Arabidopsis thaliana: one gene and its partners. The protein of the gene in region 3 binds, or shares a complex with, the protein of the main gene of each other region. Each region holds a gene or a part of one and is shown on either strand. Other genes may lie near its edges. The genes, in order: AT4G20980, EIF3E, EIF3C and TRIP-1.

Region 1 (5,311 bases), on a different chromosome or scaffold from region 3:
GTGAATGCCAATGGCATTGCACCAAATTAAAATCCGTTTTCCGTATTGTCATCTTCCCAGCATCTCCTTTCCATGATACCTTTAAGATTTCAAATGATTAGTGTTGTAATAATAATATAGTTAAGTGAGAATAACTGAATTCTATAATAAAGTTTTACGTACCATAATGTCATGGCCTCTGTTTGTAATTACAGCCGGAGCTGGTTTATATTGTCTTGTCCATGCTTGATCATGAATAAGACTGACTCTTTCGTTAGTAAGATCGATCGGGGATTGATATCTTCCGGTGTTACAAACTTTCCAGTGCGGATTTATTTTGCCCCATCCCTCTGGTCCCTTTTCCGTTTTTTGTTCGTAAGTAAATGGAGTTTCGTCGTCTGTTTTCAGATTAAAGTTAATAACAAATCATTAAATCTGAATTTTGATACAAAAGATTAATTTTACTAGAATGCAATAGAGATGTAGTAATCATACCGACTTCAGAATGAGCGTGTGAAATATTAGGGAAAGATAGATAGATGAAACACATAGCCATGAAGAAAATTGTTTTTGCGTTGGTATCCATGTTTCTCTTCTTTCGAGATTAGATTTTGCTTAATGGAGTATGTTATTATGTTTTGGAGATTGAAGGGTTTAGAGACAACCTATTTAAGAGGAGGCTTTTGGGGGATGTTTGTTCTGCTGTTCTGATATGGTTTTTGCCGTTGCTACGATTATTAGTTAATAATCTGATGTTACTATTGGAAACATGAAAAAAAAAAAAAAAAAACTGAATGCTTAGTAAAAACCATTTTGGTTGAGTTTTCTAATTTGGGGTTTATAATAATAAATATATGTGAAGTATGTCGGTTTAACAGAGATTAAAACCGACCAGGACAATAGGATCTATGTCAGTTTAACAGAGATAAAAACCGACCAGGACAATAGGATCAAGCTCATAAGAGAATACGCCAAACGACCGAAACAAACAAAAGTTGGAACCATAAAATACCAAATTTTATAAAACTAATGCAAAATGATTCAAGAAAATTTGGTGGCTATAAGAGTCATAGTAAAAAGATTTCTGTTCTGTAAACAATCCGTAATGATTTTCCAAAAGATGTCACGAAGATAGTGTTCTACAATCTCATTTCTGACTTAAAATTACAGCAGTACCACAAAAATTTGAAAAAGGACAAGATAATTAAAAAAGGAACCTCCATTGTTGTTGTTTGATTGAAGCTTCAACTCTCAAAAGAACCCAGAAACGAAAGGTGTAGACTTTGGACCTGAAGAATATAGTATCCAAATTGTGAATGACGATGCTTCATACGACGTTTATACTTATAATAAAGATCATCAATTAATCTAAGTCACCAGTTTCTAAACTATAAGAATGAAATTCAGATGAATAAGAACAAGATTCTATGGCTAAGAAGTAAGAACCAACTTTCTGCATTTTCTTGGGTTCTAAGTATAAATTCACGATCCTAAACAAGTGTTCAATCAAATCCAACAAGCATATTATGGTAACCGCCTTTTGAATTTGAGAGTTGTTTGTATGAACTACCTGACTTTATAACCATCAAGCTTGAGCATCATCAGCTTTCTTCTCCTCGGTTTCTTTAGTTGCAGCTACACTTGCTTCTGCTCCCTCTGTGTTTTCCTCAGTTGGCTGAACCTGTTCATCTTCAGGCAACGGTTCCTCAACGTAATCATTCTCGAAAGCATCAGGTGGAACCTCATAAATCCTCACTTGAGGCTTCGATGGATCCTTCACAAGAACATACTTCCCTTCGCTTAGTTTCATACACAGATCAACTATGGATTTCACAATCCCCCACATGTTAGAAGTGTTGAGATTAATCTGTCCAGCGAAATCCTTCGGCTTATACCCCAAAACAGATAATATAACATGGTTGAAATGATCACGAGGATGAACCCTAGAGACAAAACCAATCTTCATCATATCAGCATTAGCCAATAAAGCTTGTGCAGTCCATTTAGCCAACTTATTTCCATTGTTCTTCAATTCTGTAGCTAAAACCGCACCTCTCTGAGTTTCAAGCTTCTGTCTCCAATCAACACCAGAGTACTTAGGATCAAACTCGTTAAGAGCATTCAAAGTAAGAAACGACCTTTGGTTGTTGAGATCAGCAACACTCTGTAACTCACACCTCGCAACAAGATGCATATTATCATCAAGCTTCCACCTTCTATACCTATAAGCAACAGAAGCAATCTCTTCACCTTCATTAGCAAATGGATTGGCTTCATCAAAAGTTTCCTTCTTTCCATCTCTAACCAAAACCTGCTGCGAAAAGTTCTGATTGATGTAAGCAGCTTCCACACCTAGAGAATGAGCAGAATTGATATCATCTTTAGACTCAGGCAATGGCTCTTGAGATGTCTCATGCACAGACAACAAATCAAGCTGTGATCCATCTCTCTTGTCAAAGAACAGTTTGTTACCAACACGTTGAATAACAATATCCCAAGAGTAAACAGATCTAGGAGCACACATAAGAGCAGCTAATATAGCATCAGTAGCGAAAACAGTAGCTTTGTCTTCCTTAGCTAAACGCCTAATCACAGGATCATCACTAGTAGTGACTTTGAAGAAGTTCCTGTTCTTGAAACGCTCGAGTCTGCGTTCGTTTTTCGGCGTTATGCGATCGAAAAGGCGGTTGTAGTACTCAAGGCCACCACAGAGAAGAAGATCTTCTGGTTCTTGAACTGTGTACGAGAGCTTCGAGAATGTTGAGAAAGGGATCTGCTCAAGCATGTTCCACTCCGGCTGAATATCAACGGATGATTTGAAAGCGGCAGCTTCACGGCGTTGGTGATGGATGTTGTTACGGTTGTTATTGTAGAGACGATCACGACGAGCTCGTTCCTTCTCAGCATCACGCTTCTTAGCTTCAACTTCTTCATCTCGCCGTTGAGGAAGCTGATTCCGATTGTGGTGAGGATTGAAACGCCATTTAGGTCCGAATTTAGGACGCGGCGGAGGTTTACCGTCGACGAGACGGAAAGCTGCGTCTTCGTCGGGATTACCACCGGAGGAAGCGAGACCGAAGCCTTCGTCGATTGCGAAAGCGGAGAAATCGAAAACTGCAGACGGATCTGATTTGGATCCGGTGTTAGGACGAGCGGATGGATTAGAGAGATTGCGAGTCCAATCAGCTACACGGCCGAGCTTATCGGAACGGGAGAAGGAAGCGAAAGGAACGTTCGGGAGAAGATTAGCGGCGGCGACGCTGGTGGGAGAGGCGGAGGAGGAAACGTCGGAAGCGTCTGGAGGTCCCCAGCCATCGGAATTGAAAGGAACGGCGACGAATTCGAAAGCTTCGGTTACCATTTCTGAGAAGATAGTGTTGCAGCTGTGTGTGTGGAAAGCGGAAACCCTAATTCTTTAGTCTACGTTGAAGAGAGAAGGTACAAGAAAAAAACATTTTTGTTAATGTTTGGGCTCATGGGCTTTAGTATTCTTCAAAACCCATATATAACACTTGAAGTCTTAAATCATGTTTTTCATTTCTGACTTTGAGAAAAAAATAAAATAAAATAAAAATTTAGAATTCAAATTCATCAATTTGAAATAGTATAACACATTTTTTTTTGATAAACTCTATTTGCTGATCTGGTCAGCTTCGATAGAAACGCACCAAAGTGCTCCGAAGTAAACTTTTCCCGAAGGACCACAACACTATCTGTCCCGAATTTAAATGTTTTCTAACTAATACCACGGGATATTCAAACTCGGATCTGAGAGTTTCACCTATCACCAAAGTTTCTCCTATCACTAGATTACAAATGCTTGGGCAAGTATAACACATTGAAAAAAGGTGAAGTTATTTCGCTCGTTCATGTATTAATTCTAAGAAACTTTTTTTTTTGGTTTCGTTCTTGAAAATCATCATCCTAAGTTTCATATATTTCACAGCTTTGTTGATACCAAAAAACAAAATATATTTCACAGCTTTAAGTAGAGAAAAGTATATATTATGCTTACAAATGAAACATCACTCTCACAGCACATGATACAATTCAAGAAAAGGAATCTAGCTAACACCAAAAATAATTCAAGAAAAGGAACAAAAACATAGAACTTTTTTTTTTAATAAAGGAACAAGGAATCAATATTAGTGAACACTGTTCACAATCTTCTCCAGTCTTTCAGGAATTTGACTCCTAGCTCCATAATCGTGTTCTTCCACCTATATAAAATATAAATTAAATTTAGTTTACTAACATATGGATATTAATAGGAATCAGCTAGTAGAAACTTAACAATCAGATGGGAACATGCAGCTTCTTAGCGTTTTTGAGTGCAAGTTTTATTAAATATAAAAACAACAAGTATAAATATCATTCCCTAACTTTGAACTCATTCCCAATGTGTATACAAGCTGGATTAGACCTAGTTTTAACATAGTAGTAGTAGCAAAGTTTGATTCTTAAATTCCATTGCAAAAAATGTTTTACTTTCCGAATTATACCTTGCAGTGAAGGGTGTGGAAGACAGCATCATCAACAATGGAGTATCCAGCATGAGTGATCTCAGCTCCTAATTCCTCGGTGAGAACACGAATGATCTCACAAAACATAAACTTGTGTTCCAAGCTTGTCACAAGAAAGATGTGAAAAATGGAACCAGTTTCTTGAATCTCGATTTTTGGCAGCTTTCTTGGCACGGAGACATCGACGCTCGACGAAACCGATGAAGATCCGACGGAATTCAGTTTCTCCAAAGTTGTAGTCGCAACGAGGTTCCTTTTCCTTTCTCTCTTTTTCTCCACGTTCACTTGTAGCTTCTTGATGTAGTTTGCAGCTTCATCTAGCTGATCAGGTAGTGTTAAAGGCTCCTAACATGAAATAATAAAAGAGTTTAGAATATTAAGATCATCACCCATACATGGAATCTTAGATTATATAAGCATATAAGAGGGCCAAGAGGAAGAAACCGTAGAAGAATGATGAGGAAGAAGAGAGATGAGTTCTGAGTAGAGAGACTTCATTTGCATCCTTCTATTTTTCTCAACCGTTTTGCGATCTACAGATCTTGATTGACCTGTGTTTGAATGGCTCGGCTCCATTTCTTTTTTTATTCCTGAATTGTTTCACATAGACCATGATAACAAACTCAATGTTAACCAAGCTTATATAAAGAAGGAGGTTGGTTTAAGTGACATCTGATAATTAGTTTGTGCTAACTATTTACTGGAAAAGGGTTTGTAATATATATGTACCAAAGACTAAAAAAAAAAAAAGCAAAACAAAGTGGAAAAAAGTAAGTTCTTTAAATATATATCTTGACTCGTCGTTATGG
Region 2 (5,519 bases), 360 kb from region 3:
TGACAATATTGATCCAGGCTTTTCTAATTTTATCCCTTTCTGTTTTCTCAATGACTGCAGGATCATTCTTTGCTTTCAGCTTCTTCGGTAGACTTCGTTTAACAATCTGAAGAAAGGATACATAAAACAATGTCGGAACAAAAAGATAATGTTGTTAATAAAGCCATGAATGAGCCATGAATGAGCCATGAAGGATTCAAAACTATGATTCATAAAATACTGCCACAGAATCCAAACCTCGTATGTATCCCCCTTCTCCAGAATCTTCACGTAATGGACCTGTAAAACACCACCCTCAGACAGAATTGTCCGTGCAGTACTTCCAGCAGATCCTTCTGGAATGGCAGAATTCATTGCAGCTTCTGACACCTTGAGGCTAAAATTTGGGGTGGAGTTTGAAGGTGACAGGGCCTTCATTCTAGCTTGAAGAGATTCATATTGAGGTCGAGGCTCACCCATTCCATTACGGCTTCTTACTCCAGACCTTTTATCACTTGCCATCAGTTCTGCTAATGATCTCAGATCCAGAGTTCCTTTCAAGTAAAATTCTTCCACATGAATGTCTGAAAAGCTCGGTAAGTTTAATGATGCCACCAGCTTGTCATAACTTGGGGGGATTTTGTAGATGACACCATCACCAATGTCCAAATACGAAGGTTCATATGCTATCCTGCAAATGATGCAAAATTCAACGTGTCAATCTAGGAAACCCAACACCGTAAGTTATCTAAGCGGATTACACAGGGTTACACGGATCCCATGGAACATGAAAAAACATATGATCAACATACTTGGGTGTAATATCACGATCATGGTAGCTTCCTCGCCTATGTGGGGTCACATCAGCTGCAAAATTTGGAGAGTTGTCCATGTCATAGAACCTCCCATGGTAATCATTCCCTGGTTTCCTACCTCTGTAACTGCCCACATTGCTCTTTAGCACCGGAAAACCCATCAGATGAGGAGGATTCCCTTGAGTCTCCTTGGACCTATTTTTGAATTTTTGTACATGCTCCCCAAGCATTGATCGGTAGTGCTCCTCAGTAACATGTTGATTGTAGAGATCATCATCGTCCTCTGCATCCTCAGCTTCTGTCCACCGCTTTCTCTTCTTGGAGCTCGCATTCATTCTCGATTTAGACCCATTGCTGTAGTTTGCCACTACCCCACCTTTAACCATTACCAACCATATAGACAGAACACAGATAAACGTCACTTAAAACTATCACAGTAGGTGGCAAAAGTAATTCCATAAAACCAATTAAAAACTGTACCTTGAGTGCTTCTACTTTCATCCTGGCTACTACTCCCATAATAATCAACTTCATCTTCAGGTTTCGGAATTCTAAACTTCATCAACGGCTGCAAGAATGAAGAATTTAGCCACAAAACCCACACTGAATTTCAACAGTAAAACAAAAACACACTGTAGAAACAAGGAGAAGCTATACAATTGCAAGATTTCCAATCACCAAAACTACATTCATCACAGTCACATGATCATCATCCAACAAGTACAAACCATCAATTTCAAGGAAATCACAAAAAAATTGAGACCTAACAGACCTCGAGATCGAATAGATTCGCGTAAGGAGAGTCCTTCGGTGGTCGTCTTGAAGGATCCATGAGAGACGGGAAGAGAATAACACGGCGTCAAAATTTTGGAGAGTCTTAATCCTTAAAAGCTTCTAGACAGAAACATTCGTCACGAGAAAGAAAAAGAGTTCGTCTCGAAGAAGAACCCTAATCCAGTATGATAGAGGAAGAGGGCGAAAGGTTAAAGACGAACATGCGCAAGTTAGTGGACACAGGCGGTACAGAAAGAAGTCCAGACTACTAACATACGCCAAACGAATAAAGCTTCTTACCGTGCGCCTCTCCACAAAAAACATTTAATTATTATTTTTTCTTAACCCCTCCGGTACCGGCCGATCAGATAACGACGGCTAAGTTATCGTTTTGGAGATAAAAATACCTTGTGGGGTAAACAACAATATATAAGAAGTAAAGGGGCGAATTTATAAATATTGAAAGCTCATATTCGAGAAAACCCTAATTTCAATATACAGGATTTTTTACCTCGTCGTCTCTGAAACTTCATCTCTGCCGTCTTAAGAAGATTTTGCCAGTGCGGGAAGCGGCGGAGATTGAGAGATTAGCGACGATGGAGGAAAGCAAACAGAACTATGACCTGACGCCACTAATAGCGCCTAACCTGGACAGACACTTGGTGTTTCCTATATTCGAGTTCCTTCAAGAGCGTCAGCTTTACCCTGATGAGCAGATCCTGAAGTCTAAAATCCAGCTTTTGAACCAGACGAACATGGTTGATTACGCCATGGATATTCACAAGAGTCTCTACCACACTGAAGACGCTCCTCAAGGTATTCTTGTGTATTCCTCTCTGGATATGTCTGTGAATTTGCGTTTTTGTGTACTGGTTTGTTTGTTTGATGATGAATGTTGAAATTTGTGGTGATAGAAATGGTGGAGAGAAGAACAGAGGTTGTCGCTAGGCTCAAATCTTTGGAGGAGGCTGCTGCACCACTCGTGTCTTTTCTTTTGAACCCTAACGCTGTGCAGGAGCTAAGAGCTGACAAGCAGTACAATCTCCAAATGCTCAAGGAACGCTACCAGGTTGTGATTTGGATGATTAAGTTGTTTAATTTTGTGAAATGTTATCCAGATTTGGTTTTGTTTGTGTATTGTGGAACACAAATCTTATATGGCTTGGTGTCTTATCAGATTGGTCCAGACCAGATTGAGGCTTTGTACCAGTACGCCAAGTTTCAGTTTGAATGTGGCAACTATTCTGGTGCTGCTGATTATCTTTACCAGTACAGGACCCTGTGCTCTAACCTTGAGAGGAGTTTGAGTGCCTTGTGGGGAAAGCTCGCATCTGAAATATTGATGCAAAACTGGGATATTGCTCTTGAAGAGCTTAACCGTCTCAAAGAGATTATTGACTCAAAGGTTAGTATTTAAAACTTCTTCTAGTTTGCGACCTTTGAAATCAATATAGATGTGAGAGTATATATGCTAACTACCATTTGTTTTTTCAGAGTTTTTCATCGCCGTTAAACCAGGTGCAGAACAGGATTTGGTTGATGCATTGGGGTCTGTATATCTTTTTTAACCATGATAATGGAAGGACACAGATCATTGATCTTTTTAACCAAGACAAGTAAGCCTCTACCTCTCTGTTATCTGCATCTCTTCTTTATACCTTTCATCACCATCTATTTCCTTGCGTTTTAAGATAAGCATGATCTAGATGCGATGAAGTTATGTATAGGTGGTGTTTGTGTGTAGAACTTTGTTTATAGTTAATGTTAGTCCTGATGTGCCTACAAGTAATTAGCAGTCACTAGTTTTAGAGTCTTCTCCTTCTTTTCATCCAGACCTATTCTTAAGATTGTGCTTTGTGTATGGGCATTTGCTGAAAAATAATTCACTTTGTTTTCATGCTGCAGTTCTGTATACTAATTTGATTTACTTTTTCAGGTATCTGAATGCCATCCAAACTAGTGCTCCACACTTGCTGCGCTACTTGGCAACTGCTTTCATTGTCAACAAAAGGAGAAGACCACAATTGAAAGAATTCATTAAGGTCATTCAGCAAGAGCACTACTCCTACAAAGATCCAATTATCGAGTTCCTGGCATGTGTGTTTGTCAATTATGACTTTGATGGGGCTCAAAAGAAGATGAAAGAGTGTGAAGAGGTAACTCATCCACATGTATAGATATTTTTGTTTGTGCAGAACTGTGCAATCAATACTCTGACATTTTAACATGATGTAGGTCATTGTGAATGATCCATTCCTTGGCAAGCGAGTTGAGGATGGAAACTTTTCAACTGTACCACTGAGAGATGAATTTCTTGAAAATGCCCGCCTATTCGTCTTTGAAACCTATTGCAAAATTCATCAAAGGATTGACATGGGGTAAGTTCTCACATTTGGTTGTATATGTTTACACATAACTCTGCTCTCCGGATTGCTCAATGTTTGGAATTTTCTCTATTCCTTATCTTTCCCAACACATGAAAATTGCCATATCCAGCTATTTAAGTTGAGAAGAATTGTTGCGGTCTTGTGGTTTAACTTTGTACTCATGTCGAGCCTATATTTCCCTTGTCAGGGTACTTGCTGAAAAATTGAATCTGAACTATGAGGAGGCCGAGAGATGGATTGTGAACCTAATCCGCACCTCAAAGCTTGATGCCAAGATTGATTCTGAGTCAGGAACTGTAATCATGGAGCCTACTCAGCCCAACGTGTAAGTAGAATAAGCTTAAATCTATGATATCATTCGTATTCTACAATCTAATCTTGTTTCCGCTTTATGCAGGCATGAGCAGTTGATAAACCACACCAAAGGCTTATCAGGACGAACATACAAGTTAGTGAATCAGCTCTTGGAACACACACAGGCGCAAGCAACTCGCTAGTCAAAATTTTGCTGTGGAAGCCTTTCCTTGATAAAACTCACCTTCGGTTGACTGGAATTATTTTCTTTTTCTTGCTCTGAGTTCACCTTTTACTTTGAAAAAGATTATTATGGAGTTGTTCTATTTGAAATGTTGGATCCACAGATTGGAACATTTTCCAACCAAATCAGCATTTTGTATCCACCCTAAGCATTTAAAGGTTTTTGCAAGCCAACGTAAATTACTGCCTTACATTGAGCATCTCTGATTTGCGTAATAGTAAGTACAATAATAGCATATAACAGAAGTAAGAAAAACAAAACTTAAGAGTTAAGACTATGACAGTGGAAAGAACAGGTCACAAACAAAACAAGTATATCAATTCGTAAATAGTATAAAGTTACTCCAGAAGTCCAACTCGCCAGAGTCATCAAAAGAGAGAAGATAAATTCAATTTCTTTGGAGGTGGGTGCCCTCCAGAGAGTACCACATAAGAATAGAAACACAACATGCAATGGAAATGGCATATAGTGTGTTTTGATCTTTCCAGTGGATCTTTTGAAGCGAGTATGAAAATACCATTTACCACTGATGGTCGAGTTACTATAAGCAACATGAAGGACCGTTTGTGTATATCAGAGGGGAAGGACATGAAACAAGAGATATGGTCATTAAACTCTCGCAAGAAATGGGAGAAGACGTATTCGATTGATTTGAATAGAACTTCCATTTGGTGTCGCCGCCATCCGAATTTGCCAACAAAAACAATCACAACATTTCAGAAAAATAAGATTTTGCTTCATAATTGGAAGATAACTGGCCGTACTTTAATTATACATGATCCGGAACAAAATTCTTATGATTTTAGCTTTTAAATTTCAGCATAAAGGGGTTTCTAACTTTCTATCGCTTATTTCCCAAGTTTACTCACTGTATAACTGGTAGACGCATTATTTCTTATTATTGTTTCAGGATTGAGCTAGCAATAACTTTTCTATATTACTTATGTTTTAGTCTTCTTTCTTTATCTCTTTTTATTTATTTATTACTATGATATTCGAATATAGACAATCAAAGCATATCTCACA
Region 3 (6,173 bases):
CTTGGCAAATAGTGATGGTTTCAATATAAATTTGTTGTCTTAAACTCACATTGATTGTTTCTCTATTTATCGTTCTTCGTACTTAAGCAATCATTTTTCTAGTTGACAAATACTTTTGCACGGGAGAAGGAGATGGTATCTCAGCTGGCAATAAGTTGTGGTTCAGAAATTCTATTTGGTATGTAAGCAAAGAAAAAGGACATTTAAATCATCAACATTAATTGTGCAGATTCAACATAGAGTAGAGAGAGAGTGACAATAACTAACAATATGAGTGATGTGAAGATTGCTGAGAGAATCTTTATCCGGCTCTTATGAGTCCTCCAGTCTTGATCAGCTGGCCAAAATGTTTGACGTCTCTGAGCCGCAAGTCCACAGCATTATTATCCTTTTAAGTGCAGCAGAAGAGCCTTTCACTCCACCGGATACTTCTTCAGCATCTTTATCCGGCTTTGGCAAATGCAACCATGTCACTTGTACTAGTTACTACTTAGTACTTACTACGACAAGCTTGTGTTTCTTTTTTGTATCTGTGTTTGCCATACAACATGAGTTATAATAAGATAAGAGTTCCAAAAAAAAAAAAGAATTTTCTCAACAATATTCATTGTCGCTAGCTCCACGAAAGTAGCCGATTAAATCACAGATGTTCTTGATAAGAAATTAATCAAACACTTCATCGAGAGGAAGTTACTAAGCAAACAAAGATGAAAGAGTAAAAGACATCAACAAAAACAGACCTGCAAGCATACGAGAAAAAACCTAAGCCTTCTTCTTTTCAACAAGAATGACGCATAAAAAAAAACTTATTAAACTTTCCAGTAAAGCATTCTTAAAAGTCTTTTCCAACAACTGCCAATATCACAAAGAAAATAAACAATCACAATGCGAGAAAATGTGATGAACATCTCTTAGAAAGAACCATTTGATAACCAAAAGGAATCCAAAACATAACAAAAGGTTGAGACTAAGGTCAACACTGCAGATTTCTCCTCATCCTCTTTAAGTACGAACACCTCGGTTAAGACTCACCATACGGCTTGAGCCATCCATCTGCATACCTCTGTTTCCTGAACCAACTCTTCCTGCATACCCTCCTCCTCGGTTCTGCCCTGACCACTGACCATTTTGTCCAGATGATCTTCCTCCACCATAACCTGATCTGTTGCCTTGTCTTCCTTGTCCGTAATTCGCCTTGTCTTGCCAATATCCACCACCACCTGATGCTGCTCCTGCATAGTCCTGATTGTTGTCCCTTCTCCTTGAACTCAGATCCAGACCACCTCCACCGGTTCTAGATTCCATTGCCCTCTCATTGCTTTCTGCCAAAATCGAGAGTTTCTCCGTTAACTGGAAAGCCAATGATTGTAATCTGCTGTGTTGCACTTCATGGAAGACGATGCATCGTGTTGGCTGATCCCAGCTTGCATGCAGTTCCTCATTAATCATCATCTTACTCACAATGCTGTGGACCTGCGGCTCAGAGACGTCAAACATTTTGGCCAGCTGATCAAGACTCAAGGACTCATAAGAGCTTGAGTATGTGAATAGGTAAGTCCTTAGAGCCTCTTCTTTGATCCTATCCTTCACCATGTCAAGGATGCTGTCACGGTTCTTGAGCAGCCTCCAGACCTCAAGAGAGTTCAAAACTTCAAACGCCTTCTGGAAATCTCCTTTGGTCAGGGCTCTGGTGGCTGCCATGACATGGTCACGTACATTCTCAGGCGGTGCAGTGAATGCTTGCCTTTCACTGATCTCGAGCAGGCGGCGGAAATTCTTGCTAATCACTCTGCGTTTGGCATCGTGCGAGTTTGCAGCCATGTTTGGGACTTCAAGAAGCATGGCACAGATGAGATGAACTGCCTCCAGAAGCTCAAGGTTTAAGTGCATGTGGTACGGCATTTGTCTTCTCCTTTCCATCCTTTCCTGGTAAATCAAGAAATAAACCAAGAAAGTTTTATATCACATATAAATAAACTGAACGAAAAACATAACCATAAGCATCCATGTTGAAATAGAGAAAATGGATTGTGTGAAATGAAACAAAATGAAGAACCCAAAAATGCAACAGTGTTTGTAATCATGTCTCAATCAGAACTATCTGGTCAAACAATTTTTTTTCAATCCTATCTGTATTAAATCTAAAAACAGAAGATAACTAGTTACCTGCTCCGGGGTTTTCTCATGGTATCGGCTTTGCGAGACACCTTGGGCAAGCAACTCTCTCACTCTTTGACCAGAGTACAGCTCGGAAAGGCAGCTATGGGACTCAGTGATCATTCCAGCCCGGAAGGCGCAAAGACCAAGCTGCGCCATGGTCCTGTTAAAGAGAATCTGTGTTGAGATGTCCATGTGCTGGATGTTGTCTTGCAGATGACTCATCAGCAACAGGTCTCTAGCAGTCACAAAGTTGTCCATTAAAGCATGGTGATTGATATCACATAGCATCGCACGCGCTTTGGTCCGCTCATCTCCATTTCTGTAGATAAGGGACACAAGAATATCCATCATAGCTCGGCTGCTCTCTGGGAAGGTAGGCTTACGGGGAACAACCTCCGGAACAACAATAAATGAAGTAGGAGGTCCACTTTCCTCTTTGGCCTCCTCAGTTTCTTCTTCTTCTTCCACCAACTCAGCCAATTTCCTCATTGCATCATAAACTTCCTGGGGCTTGTAGTATATTGCCTCAACACGTCTTAAGGCTACCTTTGCAGCAGCTTTAAAATCACCCATCCGCTCAAAGTAGTCCTGGATGTTCTGAGCAAGGGCCAAGAACATGGGCTCATCCCTTAGCCTCTCAACATACTCACGGGTGTGAGGATCAATGCATTGCAAACTCTTGAAAAACTCAGTGTCAACCCTCTCCAAGAATGCAACCAAATTTCCCCAGACCCGAATTTTTCCATCATAATCTGTTGGCTTTGAAGTTTCGTTCTCATCAGGCTCAACTGTGTCATCCACAACAATGTTACTGTACTTGACGAGAATGTCCAGTATGGTGAGCATGTTAAGCACGCATTTCTTCCAGACATTGATAGGCATGTGCCCGCTGAGACCTGGATTCACATCAAACTGAGCCGAAATAACGCTAAACAAGATTTCAAGCTTCTGTGCAGGAGTCTTGGCAATCTTTGTCAAGTGCGTAAGCTGATCAACTAGCTCAAATCGAGCAGTGCCCTTTTTTCCACGAGCAGCCACAATTTCCTTGAACTTCTTGTTGACCCAGTCCCAAGTGATCTCTTTAGGATCTTTATTCATTAGCTTCTCCAAAAGCTTATCTTTTTTGCTCAGCATCTTCTCCCAAGTGAGATTATCAGTAGGTTCATCCACATCGGACCCAGGATCTACGGTAGGTCCGTCGATGGAAGAATCATCATCATCTTCAACCTCATCATCATCATCGTCATCATCATCATCATCTTCAGGTTGTTTCTCTTCCTCAACTTCTGGAGCCTCACGATACTTGTTGATATCGTCTTCGTACAACTTATTGTTCTTCTTCAATTTCTGTTTCATTGAGTTCAAAGCCTTGGAGTTACTAGTACTCATCTTCTTCTTGGCTTCCTTATTGGCAAGAGCTTCATTCAAGAAATCCTCCAACATAACAAGCGTCTTGATATACAAGGTAGGAGGCTTCACAGCCTCAGTAATCCTCATAACCTTCTCAAGCTGTTTGTTAACCTTATCAAAGTTTTCTTGAAGGCTGACCCAATCATTGATCTTCATAGCATTCTTCATCTGATCAACAGTGTAGGTCATCTCCTCAAAACGTTTATCCTTAGCAGGCTTAACCACACGTTTCGTATCAGTATCATCATCATCCTCACTACCACTTTGAAGGTAACGGTTATTGACGTCATCATTCTGAACCTCATTAACCTCTACCTCATAATCACTTTCATCTTCACTTTCACTTCCAACCTATCAACATAACAAGTAAAAATCATTCAGAAACTGAAGCAAGTAAAGGTAAAGAGAGTTTATAAACAAGAGGTCTGTTGAAGGAAACCTGAGTGAAAAAACGAGACGTCATCTTTTTAGCTGGAAGCGTAAGCAACAAGAACCTGATACACCAAAAGTAACAAATCTGAATAGTGAATCAGAGGAACGAAATTATAAGTAAAACAAACCAATCCATTCGAAGAACATAATCTGAACGAAACAATCGTGTCACAGATACAGACTCGTATCAACAAAGAATTAGAATCGATTCGAATCAATCTACACCAAACTAGAATCGAAAATTTGTTACGCTAGATGATGAGGAACAAAATTACCTGAATTCAGAAGATGGAGATGGAGATGGAGATTTGCGAAGGAGATGCTTGAGGAGGATTACGAATCTAAACAAAAATGGTGTGTAGCCGTCCAAGCATTTTGGTCGAGATGAAAAAATATATAGAATTAGGGTTTCGTGATTTACTCACTAAACCGGATTCGATTTGATTCTATTTCCATACCGAAACTGAAAACCGAGGACAATTAAAACGCTCTCGATCGGTTTTTATTTTATTTACAAACCGAATTGGTCGAACCAGGACTAAATGAAATTGTAGTGATGGTTAGTTCAATTAAATTGAGAAAAGAACCGGTTCTTAGTCCTCTTTCCTAGCTGCTTATCAGACAGATTACATATGAATTGCTTTGTACGCTGGTAACGTCAAATGACTAAATGTTTTCAAATATAGATACAAGTTTTTTTTTTACATAGTTTCATAAATCATACAAATTGGATCAGCAAACACCGACCGGAATCTCTAGAGCATATACATACAGAAAGAGAGAGAGAGAGAGAGATGGTCAATGATCAACTAAGCTTTGGTGATTGGAAAGATATCAAAATCCCCAGTCTTGCTGCTATGTATATAACTGACATTCAGTGTGTTTAGGATGTAACCTTCTCCACAGCATTGGTTTCATTGCTTTCTATCTCTCTCTCTCTCTCTCAAGCTGTCTTTACTTTAGTCGAAGTATCTTTTCCTCTCCGGAGCCATAAGTTGACAAGAACTGAATCAATCATGATCTGTAACATTCCAGATTTACGTCAATAATTTATAAAATTATGCACACAAGTACATGATGATTATAATACAATTTGTAACCTGGTTCAGGTGTGCAGCTACACAAGGAAGAACCAATAGCCCTGTCTCACCAAATGCACCTCCTAATTGCTCTACTACCGCCACCATTACCGGTAATGTTTTCTATGCCACCACAAGAAAAGAACTCCCAAATTTAAGAGATCAAAATCGGTTCTAAAAGGCAAACTCTATTATTACCTGGCTTGAAACGAGCAAAACTGCAGTGCTGTTTTCCTTGGAGCTCTTGCTACCACCTGTAAGACCGGAGAGGATGCGGATTGAAACAGCATTGAATGCTAGTAGAGAAAGATGCAGCAATCTGTAAGAAGACGTAAGAATCTTCTGTCAAACGTAATCCGCATTTCTAACACACAAGCCAAATATTTCCATGAGCTTCTTCACTTGGTATCTTTTCTATATGTTAAAAGAAGAATGCGTACATTCCAATGCCAACTGCTGCAAGGAAAACCTTAGGTTGAACGGATAGTAGCAGTGATCTTGACCTGCTCACTTGGATCCATGGCACCTAGAATATTAATCATGGAATAAACACTATTAAGTTCCCAAAATAACCAGGTAAATGCAATAACAAAGTCAGACCAGTTGAAGTAGCCAGGGAAGCAGAGGTTAAACTATAAAAAGGAAAAAAGTATTAAGTCCTTCTATCTCCAAAGTCATAACCGTGACTGCAAATATGGTTTTTGCAATTTAGTAAAAGCTTTGGATTGGCACATCAATGCCACGGAATGTTGAAATCCCAAGCTATCATACAAGAAAAGAGAAAGTTTTAAGTACAGGCATCTAAAATGCCAAGTTTAAGATTCCTGCAACAAAGCAAAACTCCAAGGATATGACTTCAGAAAGTTATTCAAGGGGTGTAGAAATTACGGGAGACTAACATTTCATATCTTACCAAACTGAGGCAGATTGCGTTGATTTTCGAAAAGAGTTTACGGTTATTGTCAACAAAGTTTGCGAAACCTGTATCACACATTTCAACAAGAGTTTCAACAAGGTCAGAAAGTAGGCAGCGATAAGCATATATATTTATTATAAACAGAACCATTTTGATCCATTGTCACGATAAAGTGA
Region 4 (5,063 bases), on a different chromosome or scaffold from region 3:
AGCGTCTTGGCACTTACCGTGGCCACAGTGGTGCTGTTTGGTGCTGTGATATCTCCAGTAAGTGGTCTCAGCCTCTCAAATTCAAATAGTATATAGTGGATGGAATGGATTCAGTTTAGGATTTAAGTCGTTGTCTTTGTTGTTTTAGTCTTTCATAGCTTAACGATTAGTGTTTTGTTTGTGATTTCTTAGGAGACTCGTCTAGATTGATCACTGGTAGTGCTGATCAGACTGCAAAGCTGTGGGATGTGAAATCTGGCAAAGAATTGTTCACTTTCAAGTTTGGTGCCCCTGCAAGGTCTGTGGATTTCTCTGTTGGTGATCATCTTGCAGTGATTACCACTGATCACTTCGTGGGAACTTCCTCTGCTATTCATGTCAAACGCATTGCAGAAGATCCCGAAGACCGTAAGTTGTCAATTCTAAGTTAAAATCTACTTATGTTTTTTAGCCTATGTCTTTTTTGTATGGGTAAAAGGAATTGATTTAATGTAATTGATGTAGAGGTTGGTGATTCTGTGCTTGTCCTTCAAAGTCCTGATGGAAAGAAGAAGATCAATAGAGCTGTTTGGGGTCCCCTGAACCAAACCATTGTTAGTGGTGGTGAAGATGCTGCTATCAGAATCTGGGATGCAGAGGTATTTCAACTTTCTTAAGGCCTTTCTTTTGTCTATCAATATCTCTCTTTTTTTTTTTATTAGCTTAAACCTTATGTGGTGCTACTGCCATTGTTACTAGACTGGAAAATTGCTTAAGCAATCAGATGAGGAAGTGGGTCACAAGGAGGCCATTACATCCCTCTGCAAAGCAGCTGATGACTCTCACTTCCTTACAGGTTCACATGACAAAACTGCAAAGGCATGTGCTTCTTTCTTTTACTTGTTTCAAAAATATGCTCTATACATATTACATATAGAGATAAATCATCTAATAGAGTGTTCTTTTTGTTGATTCTTTCAGCTTTGGGACATGAGAACGCTGACTCTTATTAAGACTTACACCACTGTGGTGCCTGTAAATGCTGTCGCCATGTCTCCACTTCTCAACCATGTATGCACTAATGCTTCTTGAAATTCAAATTCGGTTCCCAAAAGCAACAAGTCTTGATGTTATCTTTGTGAATGTTTCTGCTCTCGCTCTTTTAGGTTGTGCTTGGAGGTGGTCAAGATGCATCAGCTGTGACTACCACTGATCATCGTGCTGGGAAGTTTGAAGCTAAGTTTTACGACACGGTTAGTGTTGCAGTAAAACAGTTTTATTTAAAAACTTGTAACCTGGAAAGAGATATGTAACTGTGTATTTGGTCTTATAATATATAGATTCTGCAAGAGGAAATTGGTGGCGTGAAAGGTCATTTTGGACCTATTAATGCTTTGGCATTCAGTCCTGATGGGAAGAGGTAAACTAACAAAATTTGATTTTGATTGATTGATACAATCCTCAGTTGATGAGAGTGTTTTTTAGGCTTTGTTGCTGAGTGTTTTTTGGAATGTATTTTCAGTTTCTCTAGTGGAGGTGAAGACGGCTACGTGAGACTGCATCATTTTGACTCCAATTACTTCAACATCAAGATTTAGATTCTTTGAACATGTCTTTCCATTTTTTCATCATTCCACATAATATTTTCTCTCTTTTTAACATTTTCAGAATTGATGTACTACCAAATTACCAATATACTACTTTGATGATAAAGCTTGTTGTTTGTCTTTTCAAATAGACATATGCACCCACAAAAAAAAAACGTATGAAACTGCTTTTGAGAAAGGAAAAAAACAAAATAGGCGCAACGGGCGAGGTTCGAACTCATCAAATAGGGAAGAAGCTAAAAACGCTGAAGCCACTGAGCTTTGCTAAACTGTGGCATCTCGAGTAATTTAAAAAATTACAAAAGGGTAAAAGTGTCAAAAGAGAGGACAAAGTTGATTTCCTAGGGTTTTTGCACTTCTTCCTCGTCGTCTCTCTCGTCTTCAAGTGAACAGGTGAAGAAGAAAGCCGTTTTCCGTAATCGTTTCTTCAATTATTTTTCTTGTCTTTTGATTGATTCGATTTCGTATCTGTTTCAAAGATTCGCATCAAACCCTAAGAAACTGAAGATGAGGCCGATCCTGATGAAGGGACATGAACGTCCATTGACGTTTCTGAGGTACAACAGAGAAGGAGATCTGCTTTTCTCCTGCGCCAAGGACCACACACCCACCCTCTGGTTTGCCGATAACGGCGAGCGCCTTGGAACTTACCGTGGTCACAACGGTGCTGTTTGGTGCTGTGATGTCTCCCGTAAGTTTCTCAATTTCTCTTCAAATAGTATCGAGTCGATGATTAGATTCATTGTTTCCCCTTAGCTACAAGCTTGTTTAGGGTTTATAGTATCGAGTGAATTCTGTCGTCTTAGTCTTTCAAAGCTGAATGTTTAGTGATTTCTTAGGAGACTCGTCAAGATTGATCACTGGTAGTGCTGATCAGACTGCAAAGCTGTGGGATGTAAAATCTGGAAAAGAATTGTTCACTTTCAAGTTTAATGCCCCTACGAGGTCTGTGGATTTCGCTGTTGGAGATCGTCTTGCAGTGATTACCACTGATCACTTCGTGGACCGTACCGCTGCTATTCATGTGAAGCGTATTGCGGAAGATCCTGAGGAACGTAAGTTGTACATTCCTAGCTGAATTACTACTTACGTTTTAGCCAACTTCTTGTATGTGTTAAAAGGAAATTGTTTGTTTGATGCAATTGTGTAGAGGATGCTGAGTCTGTGCTTGTCCTTCATTGTCCTGATGGAAAGAAGAGGATCAATAGAGCTGTTTGGGGTCCCCTGAACCAAACTATTGTTAGTGGTGGTGAAGATAAAGTTATCAGAATCTGGGATGCCGAGGTATTTCAATTTTTCTTAAGGCCTTACTTGTGTATTAATTTCTCTCTTTTAAGGTTATGAACTAAACCTTATGTGGTGCTACTGCCATTGTTACTAGACGGGAAAATTGCTCAAGCAATCAGATGAGGAAGTGGGTCACAAGAAGGACATTACATCGCTCTGCAAAGCAGCTGATGACTCTCACTTCCTTACAGGTTCACTTGACAAAACTGCAAAGGCATGTGCTTCTTTCTTTTACTTGTACAGTATATCTTGTTTCAAATTTTTGCACTATACATATAGATATAAATCATCTAATAGAGTGTTCTCTTTTGTTGATTGTTTCAGCTTTGGGACATGAGAACGCTGACTCTTCTTAAGACTTACACCACTGTGGTGCCCGTAAATGCTGTCTCCCTGTCTCCACTTCTCAACCATGTATGCACTAATGCTTCATGAAATTCAATTTCGAATCCCAGAATCAGCAAGGCATGATGTTATCTTTGTGAATGTTTCTGCTCTCTCTTTTAGGTTGTACTTGGAGGTGGTCAAGATGCATCAGCTGTGACTACCACTGATCATCGTGCTGGAAAGTTTGAAGCTAAGTTTTACGACAAGGTTAGTGTTTATAATAAGAGTGTTTTACTTGGAAACATGTAACCTGGAAAATACACATATTTAAATAACCGTGTATCATTGTGTTTGGTATAATATATAGATTCTGCAAGAGGAAATTGGTGGTGTGAAAGGTCATTTTGGACCTATAAATGCTTTGGCATTCAATCCTGATGGGAAGAGGTAAATTAACAACATTTGGATTTTGATTGATTGACACAATCCTCACATGATGAGGTTTTGAGTGTGTGTTTTGGCTCTCTCACTGAGTTTGTGGAATGTATATTTCAGTTTCTCTAGTGGAGGTGAAGACGGTTACGTGAGGCTGCATCATTTTGACTCCGACTACTTCAACATCAAGATTTAGATTCCGACTACTTGAACGTCAACCTTTTAGAATCTTTGAAAAAGTCTCCCATTCCGGATTTTGTTTTCTCTCTCTTTTAACATTTTCATGTTTTTATTTACTACCAATACAAATACCTTGATGATAAAGCTTTTGAATTTTGACAGAATCTTTAGTTTTCATTTCCAGAGTTCTCAGTACAAGTTAATTAACCTGCTCTATGTGTGAGCGAGCATTAATATTCAGCTTTTATAAAATAAACTCGGTTGTAGAAAAGAATGCCTTGTGTGATTGACAGTCCTCAAGAGTAGCGAAGAAAATCACCCAAAGACAGACTCATAATGTTTGTGATATTCGTGATGATTATTGGATCTATAAATTTTCGGAGAGAGATGTATGAAACCTGAAAAGAAAGATCCTTTATGCATGAAACCTTGACAAAAGAAACAAAAGCTTACGCAAAGCAATAACACCGATTTCATAAAATTACATCAGGTCTAAAACAAGGAAATGCAACAAAGGAAGCCATTTTATAAAAAAAGAAAAGCCTCTCTATATTAACAGTAACAAACCATAACACCAAATTTTCATCTGGAGGAAAAGTTTCTCTTTCTCCCTCTCTCTCTCCGAAAATTTATAGATCAATAATCATCACACCTCTCTCTCTCTCTCTCTCTCTACTATACTATCTATCAAGTTTTTCTGAAATTAGTAGCACTTATTTTCTTTGTTTATGTCGACAAATTAAGTAGAAATCGACATGAATTACCATCGATCAGCCTGCAGCTACTGCTTTAGCTCGAGGCTTCGTATCGAGCAGTTGATGCAATTTGCTTGTAGAGTTAGAATCATTGTCTCCTTGGTTCTTGTTCTTATCTCCAGCTCCTGAGTTCTTAACTCTAGACAACATATTTGCGGGGACTCTCTTTTCGGGTTCCGAGCATTTCAGTTTGTCCTGCAACCCAAAAAGAACCGGCCATGTTCAAGAAAATGACACGCCTTCATAAAGATAATTTGTTGGTTAATGATAGCTTACTTACCAACAAGGTTGCATTTGCTCCTCTTAGTTTATCAGATTTCTCATTAAGTTGGTTTAGTTCAGATCTTAATGCCATGTTTTCGGCTGTCAAGGCTTCCACTTTCCTAGCAAGTTCTTCTGTCTCGGCCTTCAAAACAAGGAAAGACAGTTTGTTAGTTTATTAAATGTTTTGGTGAGAGTTACACACTAAGAGAAAGAATTTCTAAAGAGCTTC

Evidence for each region.
Region 1: EIF3C (region 3) and AT4G20980 share a complex: the UniProt entries of both Arabidopsis thaliana proteins name them as parts of the eukaryotic translation initiation factor 3 (eIF-3) complex.
Region 2: EIF3C (region 3) and EIF3E share a complex: the UniProt entries of both Arabidopsis thaliana proteins name them as parts of the eukaryotic translation initiation factor 3 (eIF-3) complex.
Region 4: EIF3C (region 3) and TRIP-1 share a complex: the UniProt entries of both Arabidopsis thaliana proteins name them as parts of the eukaryotic translation initiation factor 3 (eIF-3) complex.

What each region holds. Positions count from the first base shown.
Region 1 is NC_003075.7:11,215,026-11,220,336, reverse strand, and holds AT4G20980 (Eukaryotic translation initiation factor 3 subunit 7 (eIF-3)), read right to left. Parts: upstream 3,457-5,311; 5' UTR 3,341-3,456; coding exon 1,565-3,340; 3' UTR 1,550-1,564; exon of another isoform or gene 1,269-1,549; 3' UTR 1,159-1,268; exon of another isoform or gene 957-1,158; intron 770-956; 3' UTR 699-769; downstream 1-698. Other genes in the region: ACA4 (alpha carbonic anhydrase 4), read right to left, coding at 1-79, 163-377, 475-565; AT4G20970 (basic helix-loop-helix (bHLH) DNA-binding superfamily protein), read right to left, coding at 4,125-4,199, 4,482-4,847, 4,947-5,078. UniProt on the Arabidopsis thaliana protein: mRNA cap-binding component of the eukaryotic translation initiation factor 3 (eIF-3) complex, which is involved in protein synthesis of a specialized repertoire of mRNAs and, together with other initiation factors, stimulates binding of mRNA and methionyl-tRNAi to the 40S ribosome.
Region 2 is NC_003074.8:21,195,719-21,201,237, reverse strand, and holds EIF3E (eukaryotic translation initiation factor 3E), read left to right. Parts: upstream 1-1,918; 5' UTR 1,919-2,164; coding exon 2,165-2,384; intron 2,385-2,482; coding exon 2,483-2,637; intron 2,638-2,745; coding exon 2,746-2,973; intron 2,974-3,062; coding exon 3,063-3,184; intron 3,185-3,504; coding exon 3,505-3,724; intron 3,725-3,803; coding exon 3,804-3,946; intron 3,947-4,142; coding exon 4,143-4,280; intron 4,281-4,352; coding exon 4,353-4,452; 3' UTR 4,453-4,721; downstream 4,722-5,519. Other genes in the region: INO80 (DNA helicase INO80-like protein), read right to left, coding at 1-106, 238-670, 792-1,170, 1,275-1,362, 1,567-1,626. UniProt on the Arabidopsis thaliana protein: Component of the eukaryotic translation initiation factor 3 (eIF-3) complex, which is involved in protein synthesis of a specialized repertoire of mRNAs and, together with other initiation factors, stimulates binding of mRNA and methionyl-tRNAi to the 40S ribosome.
Region 3 is NC_003074.8:20,832,788-20,838,960, forward strand, and holds EIF3C (eukaryotic translation initiation factor 3C), read right to left. Parts: upstream 4,489-6,173; 5' UTR 4,278-4,488; intron 4,088-4,277; exon of another isoform or gene 4,065-4,087; 5' UTR 4,034-4,064; coding exon 4,010-4,033; intron 3,922-4,009; coding exon 2,167-3,921; intron 1,927-2,166; coding exon 1,003-1,926; 3' UTR 623-1,002; downstream 1-622. Other genes in the region: AT3G56160 (Sodium Bile acid symporter family), read right to left, coding at 4,946-5,023, 5,103-5,204, 5,280-5,400, 5,522-5,607, 5,995-6,062. UniProt on the Arabidopsis thaliana protein: Component of the eukaryotic translation initiation factor 3 (eIF-3) complex, which is involved in protein synthesis of a specialized repertoire of mRNAs and, together with other initiation factors, stimulates binding of mRNA and methionyl-tRNAi to the 40S ribosome.
Region 4 is NC_003071.7:19,002,424-19,007,486, reverse strand, and holds TRIP-1 (TGF-beta receptor interacting protein 1), read left to right. Parts: upstream 1-1,754; 5' UTR 1,755-1,979; exon of another isoform or gene 1,980-2,065; 5' UTR 2,066-2,093; coding exon 2,094-2,277; intron 2,278-2,425; coding exon 2,426-2,641; intron 2,642-2,736; coding exon 2,737-2,870; intron 2,871-2,967; coding exon 2,968-3,087; intron 3,088-3,197; coding exon 3,198-3,287; coding exon of another isoform or gene 3,288-3,308; exon of another isoform or gene 3,309-3,380; coding exon 3,381-3,467; intron 3,468-3,567; coding exon 3,568-3,647; intron 3,648-3,755; coding exon 3,756-3,831; 3' UTR 3,832-4,329; downstream 4,330-5,063. Other genes in the region: AT2G46290 (Transducin/WD40 repeat-like superfamily protein), read left to right, coding at 1-57, 193-408, 505-638, 739-858, 961-1,050, 1,146-1,232, 1,320-1,399, 1,502-1,577; GBF3 (G-box binding factor 3), read right to left, coding at 4,586-4,765, 4,851-4,976. UniProt on the Arabidopsis thaliana protein: Component of the eukaryotic translation initiation factor 3 (eIF-3) complex, which is involved in protein synthesis of a specialized repertoire of mRNAs and, together with other initiation factors, stimulates binding of mRNA and methionyl-tRNAi to the 40S ribosome.